Linked DNA regions of Xenopus tropicalis. The protein of the gene in region 2 interacts with the protein of the main gene of each other region in a pairwise test. Links are inferred from orthologs where the notes say so. Each region holds a gene or a part of one and is shown on either strand. Other genes may lie near its edges.

Region 1 (6,011 bases), on a different chromosome or scaffold from region 2:
TGACACTGACTGCTGCAGGCTGCATAGCTGGTTACTCCATTACAGAAAACAAATGACACTGAGACAGTTTTTATGTAATAGATAAATGTTGCAGGGAGGTATTCAAATCATTGCTGCCCTACACAATGTGCCAGCACCAAGTGTTCCCTGTAGGCTGAAACTAGCCGAGACTGCTGAATTCTTTTCACATTCTCACATTATAGAAATATCTGGATTCCTGATGCTAACAGGCCAAAAGGGTTTTTGCTGCAGTCAATACAAACGCAGACGGAAAGCATTGATATGAAATACAACTGGGAAGTGGTGATATTTATGCTGCATGCTAATAAAAGGAATGGCATATTCTTTGCAGCTATCTTCCTTTAGAAAATATACCAACAGATTTAGAAAGCATGTGACTAAAATTGGAAGCAAATTACCAGCACATTGTGCAGCCTTATCGCTGCATATAGATTATACACTCAGTTCAGTACTGAATGTTATGAAAACCACAATTCACAGTGTGTAGTTCTTCCTGTAATCAGTGAAGTGCGGCAATGCAGCTGGTTCTAAAGCGCCTACAAGGGCCAATAGGCAAAGTCTGACAATGGTCTGTGCACTGCTGTCTACCAGCCTACTGTACCCCAGTTGTTACTGCACTTCATTTCTCAGCACAACAAGCTGGAGGCTATAAAGTGATGCTGATACATAGGGGCTGATACATTTGACCTGCTGTGGAAAAGAGGGAACAGAGAGATTGGGATTCAAAAGGCCCTGGCATTTTTAATACATGGAGGCTCAAACAGTCCCCCAATATGTAGTGACTGTCTATGGAATCTTACAGCAGCAACTATGGTATTTGCCACAATCCACAGATTGCCAGTTCGGGCCGAAGTGAACACCACCAATAAATGCAAAACCCCAGGAGCAAGCAGCTCACAGCTTCACAGTCCTGCAACCCACCCCCACCCCCCCAGTGCCCCGGAGCAAATGGATCAGACAGGATAATTGCAGAAAGAGCCGTGAGCATAAGAGTTTTGCCCCCACAGCTATGTGTATCAAGGACAAGGCATTAAAAAATACTGTTTTCCCCCTTTCCCTAAAGACAGTCCATTTCCCACTCCCCAACTGTACAAATCAATCCCCCAGTGGCCACCCCTTCTCTGTACTGGGTGTTAAACAAGATAGGCAGACCTGGATTTGTGGCAAAACCAAATAAATAAGGTTGAGGAGACTGCCTTATACAGACCAAAGCAAACAAAAGAATTCTGGGAATGAATTCCAAAACTCTTAAAAAAATCCCATTTACATGGGTTTATCCTATAGGCTACAGATCTCCCACTGGGTTTAAAGCTGAAGCCGGGATAATAGCTGATCAGGATAATAGCTGATCAGATTCCCAAACCACAAAGGCCTGGGCTTAGGGAAGCATAAATTTAGGTGCGGCATACCACCCAGCCGCTCGTAAAGAAAACCTTAGTGCATCCTGTCCCAAGTGCTCTGTATGTAAGCTAAAAGGACACGCATGCGTGCGATCCTGCTGGGGGGGGAAAATGGGGGCAGCTTATGGGCCCCATAGACAGAAATCCGGCACTGAAGATAGCGCTGAGGTCTTGCTGGCTGGTATGTTTTGCTACACAGAGGTTACCTTTTTAGCCACACTACTGACTACAAGTCCAGACATGGTGCGCACCAACTCCATTGCTCTACTTTTCCACTACATTAGTAGTTGACTGCTGTCAGTTCCTCAGTGTGGAATCAATAACACCATTAGTATCACATTCACTTGCCACAAGTCACCTGTGAATATAGACACAATGCACTAAGGGAATTATGGTCAGATCCATGGTGAAGGTAATTCCTGGGTTCTCGTGTGTCAATGATATCACTTGTGCATAACTCATTAGGCTTGCAGCAAGTTGCAAAGGCGCCTGTATGGATCTAAAAGCCTTTCTGAATCAATCAATGCATGCATAGTTTTGCATCCATTTTAGCACTTCTGCTTGCTTTCATAAATGAACCCTAGCAGGCCCATCAGCATTTCAGCATGTATTTGAAATTGAAATTGAAATTGCACCAGGCAGGTACTTCTTCTGCCTACCCCTAGTCTGCGCTCTCTAGCCCCCCCCACCTCTTGACATTACAGGCAACCCCAGCAATCACTCAGGGGCAGGGGATGGGGGAAGGTGGCCAGCCATGTTGCCTAGGGTGCCTCCCTGGCTTGGCTCTCCTCTGGCACCTGTACAGACTTTGTGCCTTTTATTACATCACCCCCTTTGACTGCTTAGTATATAGTTAATATGCACACTTTGAATGCATAGCTGCTTTTACCATGACTAGTGACATGGTTCCTGTATAAAATCAATAGTTTTGACAATATACTAGGATAAATACGTTGTGTAGGCTGGAACTAACGCCCGGTAAGAAGGTAGAAATCATGAATACAAAAAAGAAATTTACTAATGGCTTGAACTGAATGTTTTTTCTTTCCACACCATTTTTAAATCAAAAATAGCTTTGCTATTAGCTGAGGAAGTTCCTAGTTTTCTCTAACGATGTTTACTTCCACCCCCAGAGCGTAACAAACAGAGGGATTTCCCGGTAAAACACGCAGGACATGATGGTGCTATGATACCCCGTCCGATATCTCTGTGGACTCGTCTGCTGTTGTTGAGTCGCTAGAGGGAGGTGCGTTCCATAGAACGGTAGGGGGGGGAGCGAGCAGCTCGTACCCACTCACTCGCACACAGAGCACATCTAACCCGCATAAAATATAACCGTGAGCTGTTCCCTCTCGGGCTGCCATTAGAGGCAGCGGGTCGGAAGCAGTAAGACATTAGCCTGCGCTTTCTGAGAAGGGTCCTAGCGGCATGACCGACCTGCAGGACGCCTTCGCGTTTTTATAGTTTTGTCGCTGTATTTGGTTCCTCTTTCACCCGATATGACACTTTCCTTCCCCAATGCGTCTTGAGATATTCAAGCTAAAAGGAGCCAGCAGCTGTTTGTGACACTGTCATTTTGCGCTACTACGTTCTTTTGTTTTACGCTGCGCTCCCCACAGGGAAGCGAAAGTGAAGCGGAGACGGGGAAACGCTGCAAATAAGGCAAAGCACTAAGCACTAGAGAGCAGTGACCGTGTGAGCCGACCCTGCTGCGTGAAGAGAGGCGGGGAGGAGGAGGAGGAGGAGGAGAGGGGCACAGGGAGGAGGGAAAGCCGAGCATCCTCCCCAGGCTCAGGTTAGGAGCTACTCTGCGCCCTACTGCTGCCACCTCGGGATCCCGCCGCTGCCGCTTCTCTTGCCTGTCATTGCGCTGCTGCGCGTCCCCTAGCACCCCGACCGTGCACCACCAGCGGAAAAAAGCAGGGGGAGGAGGCGCTATGGCTTCAACTACTTGCACCAGGTTTACGGATGAGTACCAGCTCTTCGAGGAGCTAGGAAAGTAAGTAGCAAGAACAGATATGGCTTCATTGTCTGTGGCCCAGCAGCGCCTAACCTGTAGCCCTCCAGCCTTGGGGTCATGGGAGTTATAGTTTGTCAACACCTTAGGGCTGCTAGTTGGGCATTCCTGGCTTACACATTAGCTCTTTAATATTATAGGATGTATGTGATGTATATATACACATTATATAATAAATATATCATTTGTGTTTATGCGTAGAAATGGTCAGTTGTAGTAACTGCCCACTTGTGAAGGGCTGGAGGGACAGCATTATAGATGCCCATTTTATTTTTAACATTTGCCCAGAGGTGAACTTGTGGGAGTTTGGAAGAAATACATCACTAAAATATATATGCGCCTTGTCTCATTTGTATCTTCCTCTAATGATCTGTATGGCAGACCATTTGCTCAGTAATTGTGTCAGAATCATAACAAAAGTTACACAAGCTTAGCCAGTTAACATGATTCTCCTCTGCCCCAGCTGAACACCCTGTATTGTGACTCTGGTGTTGAAACGGTTAATTGCATAATTCATTTATTTATAGTATATGTGGGAAAAAGTGACGCATAGACGCAGCCTGTGCCCAAGTATGTTTGATTGTGCCTATCTACACTAAAGGCTCGTGCCAGGAAATAGTCCATCAAGTGTACTTTGTTATCAGCACTGCCAGTGGAAGTATGCAGTTTGAACAGCACATGGATGAAAACTTGTGTCATGGTAAAGGGCTACAAGGAGCAGCAATTGAGGTTACAGCTGAGGGAATCCCTACCCTGTAGATTCTTTAAAGGTACACTCCATCCAAAAATTGTCTAGATAATGGTAAAACAATGTGTTTATCCCTCTGTTCTCTGATTCTGACTCAGGGCCCTGGAAGACATGGATATATGTCATAAGCGTTAATTCTGTGCATTTGGATCGACACAAGTAAAAAATAAACATTATTTGCAGCAATCCAGCTTAAACACAGGAAATTGCCTTCTTTCACATTTTCCCGCGATTAAGCCGGATTGGTGCAAGTAATATGTTTTTACTTGCAATGATTCAAATGTTAGGCAAGGGGAAGGCATTTTCACTTGTTGACCATAGTAATGCATATTTACCACGGCTGCCAAATCTTCCTATGTGCCAGTACCCTAAAAGTATCTTGCTTTAGCTACATTGTTTCAGTAAGCATAACCAAAAGTGCAGAGAATATAAGCAGCCAGACTAGGGTTGCTACCTGTTCAGTATTTTATTGACCTTGGTGGAAAAAAATATGCCTGAGGCCAATGTTATTAATAGGAAAGATATATAAAAATATGGTAAGGTTGGCATTTTTGTTTTTGGAATCAAGACAGATGCAGCTTTCAACAGTCCCTTTAAAATAATAGCTTCAAGTCTCTTTAAATTATATTTTCTTTTATTTTTTTTGGGAGGTGGAAATCCCCTATAACAACAGAGGGTTTATACAAAAATAGATGCCATGCACGGAATGTTCAGCAATGAGAAATGCTGTAAGGACAAATAGCCTAGTGCTATAAATAGCAAGCAAAATCTTAATACACTGCTGGGGGGTGAATATTGCCTGGCAATACAGTGTAAATGTAGTTGGCCAGAGCTTCAACCAGTGGCTCGGAAACACAGTCTGGATACCTTATATTTCTCAGGGGAAATGAGGGAATTCTTCCAGCTATCATTGCTGGTGACTCACACTACAGAAATTCAGGTCAGTGTGGAAACATCTTGCTCTCCTAAGAACTGATTAAATTGCATCTTTTTATGCTTTCACTGTGTCTGGCCACTTGAATTTTCTCAAATTTGACCTTACTCTTTTATCTATCACTATAATATGTATTGCCCTAAACATAATGACACTCCGTTTAAATATCCACTCTTGACAAAGAGCTCATGGGAATCCTCCATCCAGAGCCAGTTACAAGAGGCATTTACTAGTGTTGAGAAGGAAAGACCATTTCGGTTTTCGTTTGAGGGTGTCAAGGTCCTACAGGAACACTAATCACTAATGTTTTTGCCACTCTCCATCCTAATGCTAACTTGTGTTTATTTCCTTCTGCTGCTTTTTAAAACTAGGACTCCATGGTAATAGATCCTGGTGTTTATTTTTTAGCTATGTGATGACTACAGCTCCCATTATTTACTGGCATTGAGCACATTGTACTGGAGATGGCAGCTGAATTAAAGGAGCATCACTATGTGGGTGTTTAGGAAAGGGGGTTATTGACAGTCTAGGAAACCACTGACATGGACTGAACACATTCTGGAAGATTTTAAAGCAGAGCAATCTACAATATACCTTTGGCAAAAGAGAGAGAGAGGATGAGAGAGGAGAAAGAATACAGCATTGGGTCCTTTTTGTAGCATTATTTTCGGTAGACCACTGACTGTTCTGCAGTCCTGCTTGTCATTTGTAGTGTAACATTTCTACAGACTGTACTTGTGTATTTAAAACACATGTGTGAGTGTGTTCTGCAAAGAATGTTTATTGGATATTTTGGTGGAAGCAGAAGCTGAATCACAACCACTGTTTACTGTTAGCAGAAAGCTCTAATGGTAGTGTAGAGAGCATGAATAGTTCAGTTTGCAGGGTTTC
Region 2 (5,569 bases):
CTTTGTTGGGGGGGTCCATTCTTCTACCCAGGGAGAACTGTACCCCGGAAGTCACATCTGAGTTTTCCAACTGCCACCAATGAGGCTCAGATTTGGTAGCCATTTATAGCTGCTGGGATGGCTAAAACTCTAAGAAGCCCACTCTTAGGGCAGTGACAGACGGGGAGATTAGTTGCCCCGCGAAAAATCTTTAGTGCGGTTGGCTAATCTCCCTGCAATGCCATCCCACCGGCTAGAATGTAAATCGCCAGTGGGATGGCATACGCGTCGCTACGATTTCCCGGACGTCGCCTGAAGTTGCCTTGAGAGGAAACTTCGGGAAATCGTAGCGACGTGTATGCCATCCCACTGGCGATTTACATTCTAGCCGGTGGGATGGCATTGCAGTGCAACTGATCTCCCCGTCTGTTACTGCCCTTATAGAGGATGGATCAAGGCCATTGCTTAAGGACCCCATACACAGGGCAGTCTTGCATAGTACCAGGCTAAACAGAGGGATATCCCGTATACTGGGCAAATATGGTGGCTACCACTCCTCTGGAGTAGTACCTGTGAGCGCACTAATATATGGTCATTATTAGCTAAATAAAGGAAATAGAAGATAATTCTGTTTTGAATACAACCCGAATTGGCCCTGGTCCAAAATAACAGCAGTGCTTCCTTTATAAACGCTAGGAAAATTTGCCCATGGGCAGTAACCCATCAGTGATTGGTGGGTTTTTTGTTTTTTTTTTCAGCCAGCTGCAGGTAGAACAATGAATGCAATAATGTGATTGGTTACCATGGGTTGCTGCCCAAGGGCAAATTTGCCCAGTGTTGATAAGTGACCCCCAGTATCCCCCCCGCAGGAAGGTAGGCGTAACCAATAATTGCAATTTGTGTCAGTGTTCCTATACATTTGCCAAGGCCACCTCACCCCATACCTTTATGCCAATCAGTAGTAGCCCCAGCACATTCCGCGTTGTACCCATACCACCCTGCTCCGACAAAGAAATTATTCCAGCTCACAGTTAAAGTGGTAAAATCCTCCATATTGTTTTTTTTTTTTTTTACTTTTCCCGCGACAGAGACAAACATCTCCCTTGGTTGGGGGGTTGTTCCATGTTCCATATTGCATTGTACAATAAGACACAACATTGTTTTTGAGTCACAAAAAAAAAAAAACCTGCATTTTTAGTTAACAAAAAAAAAAAAAATATACATAAAATGAGAATATAATTCTCATCTGAGCAAAGGTGCAAGCAAGATGGCTTTACACTAAATACACTGCAGTTTTACCATAGGAAACATTACATCACAAATACCAATACACAGACCCAGAATTGAACTGGAGCCTAGTGGTGTGCCCTAGAAAACAGGGGAGGGAGGAAGGGTGATATTACTGAACGGGCGGCATTGCGTCCCACCCCGGCTCAGGCAGGCTGTGACATCTTGAAGCCCACCCTTTGCTTCTTGCTTTTAAAAGTAGGTATTGTTAAAAGGTCACCCACCCCCCAATACCTGTCCTCATCTGTTCGGGTTCACCACTTCCCTGCCAGCGCAATGCCAGCTCATCTCTAGCGGCAAGGCCTCAGCCATTTTGGACCCAGTCAATGCTTGTCTCCCAAGTTCATTGCTTGGAGTCAGTGCCGGCCAACGCTGCGGAGCCAGGAACCTGAAATGCCAGCACCGGAAGCCTCAGCTCACTAGGAACAATAACATTTACTAGGAGTCTGCTGGGAAAAGCAAATCTCTTTTCTTCCATCCCACGTCAGCAGCCAAAGGGTTAAGGAGACCCTTTGCGAAATCGATTTTGTGATAAAAACTAAGCAGCCCCCCTTATGCCACGGAGATCCTGGGGCACGAGGAGAGGGCCGATAAGCTGGGGATGCTGAAATGCAACGTTTCTTGGATAAAACATGGATGAACGCCAACCTGGGTCCCTGCTGTACTTCAAATGCCAGTGACTTGGAGCCATCCACGAGGTAGGTGGCAAGTAGGGGGTTTCCGCAGGAAGACCGTAGGTCTGGCGCTCTGGGCTTGCTGCCTTTGCCAACAGTATGAAAGGTGGGACCCCAAATTGATTGGGTAAATGGTGGGCAGTTTAAAGGCCACTCCGACGAGATGGGCCGGCCACCCTTCAAATTGGGATGGAGCAATGATGTAAGACTTGGGTGTTCCACACATGCCCAATTACAACACAGTTTGAACAATACTCTGTTTCCTTCCTCCCTCTGTATGCCCACGGGCCCTAAAATACGCTGAACAGCCCTGCCCTACCTTAATTTAAACCCTATCTGTAAGAGATACGGTCGTCTGAACCTGTGCCAGCTCTAACACGGAGCACAGGAGCCAATTACTTCCCTCCTCCTCCCTCCCTCTATGCGCTACCTCCCCCCACCCGCTTCTTCCCCTTCCCACATCCCGCTGTGTGCCTGGCATCTTCTCTTATTCCCTACCTCCTCCCATTAACCATAGAGTTTCATCTTTAAGCCCAACCCCCTTGGATGCACAATAGAAAACAAAATTAACGACTAAATCTGCGCCATGTCTGATGGTGGTAGGGTGGGGGTTGAAATGTTGTGTTGAGCTGTGTAGTTTGCACTATGCAGCACACTTCTCCCTGCAATAATGTTCCTGGGGGTTGGCGACGAGGGGGTGTAATTCTAGCCTTGGACACTGTTCCCTAAAACCCTTCTAAAGACCGGATGAGGGGGCGTAGGACATCTTTCTCCCCGATGACCACATGGACCAAACAGGAACCTAAACAGAGAAGAGACAAAATGAGCGGGTGGACTAAACCAAAGGCCTTAGGTATCTTCTCCTACTATAACCCCCAGAGGCCACTTACCTCCCACGCTGGGTGTGTATCTGCTAACGAGCCCTTTTACACACCGTAGAACGCGGCTAAACGCTCCTTTAGCAGAGGGGGAAACTGCTCAGAGAACTGGTTCCAATTCTCCTCCCCAACCTGCTCTTTAAAACCGTGCAAAATCTACAGGATCCAATGAAGCAAAAGTCAGTCCAGTATAAAGGGTAGGCCTGGGCTATATATACATATATAATATATAATATATGAAGTAAGTAAACATAATTTCAAGCAACTTTGCAATATACAATATCATTCCAAAATATGCAGCCTTTTCATGATTTGTAATGTAAAAATAGGGTTTGGAACAGTTCCCTAAGCCCCGCCCCCTGTTCTGCTGATCTGGCTGACTACTTTGAGACTCAAATAAAATGTAACAGTAGTCGCCTGCCCTCAGCTTGCATTCTCCCAATCCCCTGCACTTGATGTCAGTAAGGAAAGGAACATCTCTGTGCAATGCATTGTGGGTTATGTAGTTCCTGCATGCTGTCTGTAAGCTATGGAGAAGTTGTTGCAATTTGTATCAGTGTTTTAGTCCCTCCTCCCCTGCCAGGATTTCAATTGATGCAGAAAGAGAAGAACTGTTTTGCAGCTGGATTTCAGCCTATAAATGGTATTTATTCCTACTGTTTGAAGGAACAGATTACAGTGATAGGGATATTAGGGGTTTCGGTGTTGTATGGCGCTCTTTAGAAGAACAAGAAAGTCCTATCTTTGTTATAGAATTCTTACCTTATAGAACATGTCCCTCAGATCATCCTTCGGACTCATCCATGACGCCACAGCATCACAAAAGAAAATAAAATCCTGAGGGACAAGGGAAGAGAGGACACAAGTAAGTAAGGGCAAGGCAAGTGTATGGAGGGAACACACCCATCTCTGCTGCCCCCCTATCCCCAAACCCCCCCCCCCATAGAGTGAAGCATATTTACCTGTACAACTCCACCAGGATTCACACCTATCATTATACAGATCCCCCTGAAGGCGGAGTCTTTCTCCTCATTGTCACGGATATTGCGAAGTGATGTGCACCTAGCAATTAAATGATCAAGGCAGTATTTATAGCGTTAAAAGATTCCATTATTGGTGCTTTAAGTTAGGGGGGGGGGGGGTTGCCCAGTAGCAGTAACAGATGACTAGTAAATTCTACCTGCTGATTGGTTGCTATGGGCAAACAATTTAGTGCCTTTTCCCCAAGGTGTCAAGTCAGTGGCTGATAGGACTACCCACAATCCTTTGAGCAGGAGGAAAAGTTAACCCCCCCTGTGGTTCCCAAAGCTTTAAACATTACTTACCAAGGCCTGATAAACTGTTGCAGCATAGGAGCCACTTCCTGGGGACACACACAGCCCAGGCGCCCAATGGTTATGGCTGTACAGGAAAAAGACAAAAGATGGCACCTTATAAAAAGCAAAATGACCTGCAATCCCACTATGCTGTTATAGAGATGTGGACAGAACCAATCAGCTTTCATTGTAATGTCTGTGGTGATTTACTAGTTCCCTCTAGTGGCCAAGCGCTGCCTTGCACACACTCAGGGAAGGTCTGTCTAAGGTAATATTGATGCTTACAGGAAAGCTGGACCTCTAGAATTAAGGAATTTCCCCTAGATATTGTCCTTCAGCTTAACATGAGGATATTACGCACCTGTGTTTTCCAGAAGGGTCTTTGGAGTATTTGGCCGGTTAATGATTTCCACAAGGTTATTTAAGACCATGGGGACATATGGCTGCATCTCCGCTCCTGTAAGAAAGAAATAGAGAGAAAGCCCCTCAGCATCAGCTCCTATAACCGCATTGTGTGTCCCAAAGGGTTAAGCTTCTATTTTCCTACTATTCTGATACTGAACCCGAAATATACAGGCACAGATTCCATTAGGGGTAATATGTCGCCCTGCATCACTCACCCATCTGCATGCAGATCTCTCCGATGGCCCACGTTGCATTATTGCACACAGAGATAAACTCTGGATTTAAGTTGGTGCCCAGAATAGGCATGAACTCCGCTAGAAAAGACAAAATGGAAATTTTAAGTTGTAACAAGTTCAGCAGCTAGATGGTGTGCCACAGAGTCGGCCAGGGTCCCAATCAGCCAATAGGCTCACAGTTACCACTAGGACACCCTTATGATGATAAACACACAAATCTCTAATGGGGTTATGTAATAAAAGGCACTGGAGTTTGCCCAGGAGCAGTAACCCGTAGCAACCAATCAGCAGGTAGCATTTACTGGTCACCTGTTTAAAAGCAAACATCTTATTGGTTGCTATGGGTAACTGCTTCTGGGCAAACTTAGTGCCTTATATTGCATATGGGGTACAGAGGGCAAGTTATGTTTTGTTCTAGCCAAGGCTGGGTAAGCGAAGGGTTACATTTATTGTATGATACTTACAGATGCACGGCTTGACGTGCAGGAAGCAGGCCTTTGTCAGATCTCCCAGGAGAGCAAAGGAACTTTGCCGTACTTCAGGCATGATGTCCTGAGAAGAGAAGGCAGGGGGCACAAATGCCATTAATACATCTCACAGACAGAATTCCTGTATTCCCTGCATCGTTGGAAGCTTCCATACCTGCATGCACTGAAACAACAAGGTCATGATGTTACTCCTGGCCACTAACTGCTCCACGTGGGAACCTAGCCCTTCTGCCAGGCCGCTCAGCAGATCCAAGGCTACGATCATGAAATCCTTATCGGGCGCTTCGTATTGGTCAGGGTGTTGGC

What was found. The genes of interacting proteins can lie anywhere in the genome.
Region 1: the proteins of tnpo2 (region 2) and camk2d interact in binary tests that used the Homo sapiens proteins (3 or more experiments, as listed by UniProt). The two-hybrid records come from large-scale screens. The link is inferred for Xenopus tropicalis from reciprocal best matches to the Homo sapiens genes TNPO2 and CAMK2D.

Annotation. Positions count from the first base shown.
Region 1 is NC_030677.2:69,462,487-69,468,497, reverse strand, and holds the start of camk2d (calcium/calmodulin-dependent protein kinase type II subunit delta), read left to right. Parts: upstream 1-2,585; 5' UTR 2,586-3,358; coding exon 3,359-3,420; intron 3,421-6,011. UniProt on the Homo sapiens protein: Calcium/calmodulin-dependent protein kinase involved in the regulation of Ca(2+) homeostatis and excitation-contraction coupling (ECC) in heart by targeting ion channels, transporters and accessory proteins involved in Ca(2+) influx into the myocyte, Ca(2+) release from the sarcoplasmic reticulum (SR), SR Ca(2+) uptake and Na(+) and K(+) channel transport.
Region 2 is NC_030679.2:140,480,732-140,486,300, reverse strand, and holds the end of tnpo2 (transportin-2), read right to left. Parts: coding exon 5,418-5,569; intron 5,328-5,417; coding exon 5,240-5,327; intron 4,854-5,239; coding exon 4,755-4,853; intron 4,592-4,754; coding exon 4,496-4,591; intron 4,220-4,495; coding exon 4,144-4,219; intron 3,881-4,143; coding exon 3,781-3,880; intron 3,656-3,780; coding exon 3,581-3,655; intron 2,975-3,580; coding exon 2,867-2,974; 3' UTR 2,831-2,866; intron 2,743-2,830; 3' UTR 1,011-2,742; downstream 1-1,010. UniProt on the Homo sapiens protein: Probably functions in nuclear protein import as nuclear transport receptor. Serves as receptor for nuclear localization signals (NLS) in cargo substrates.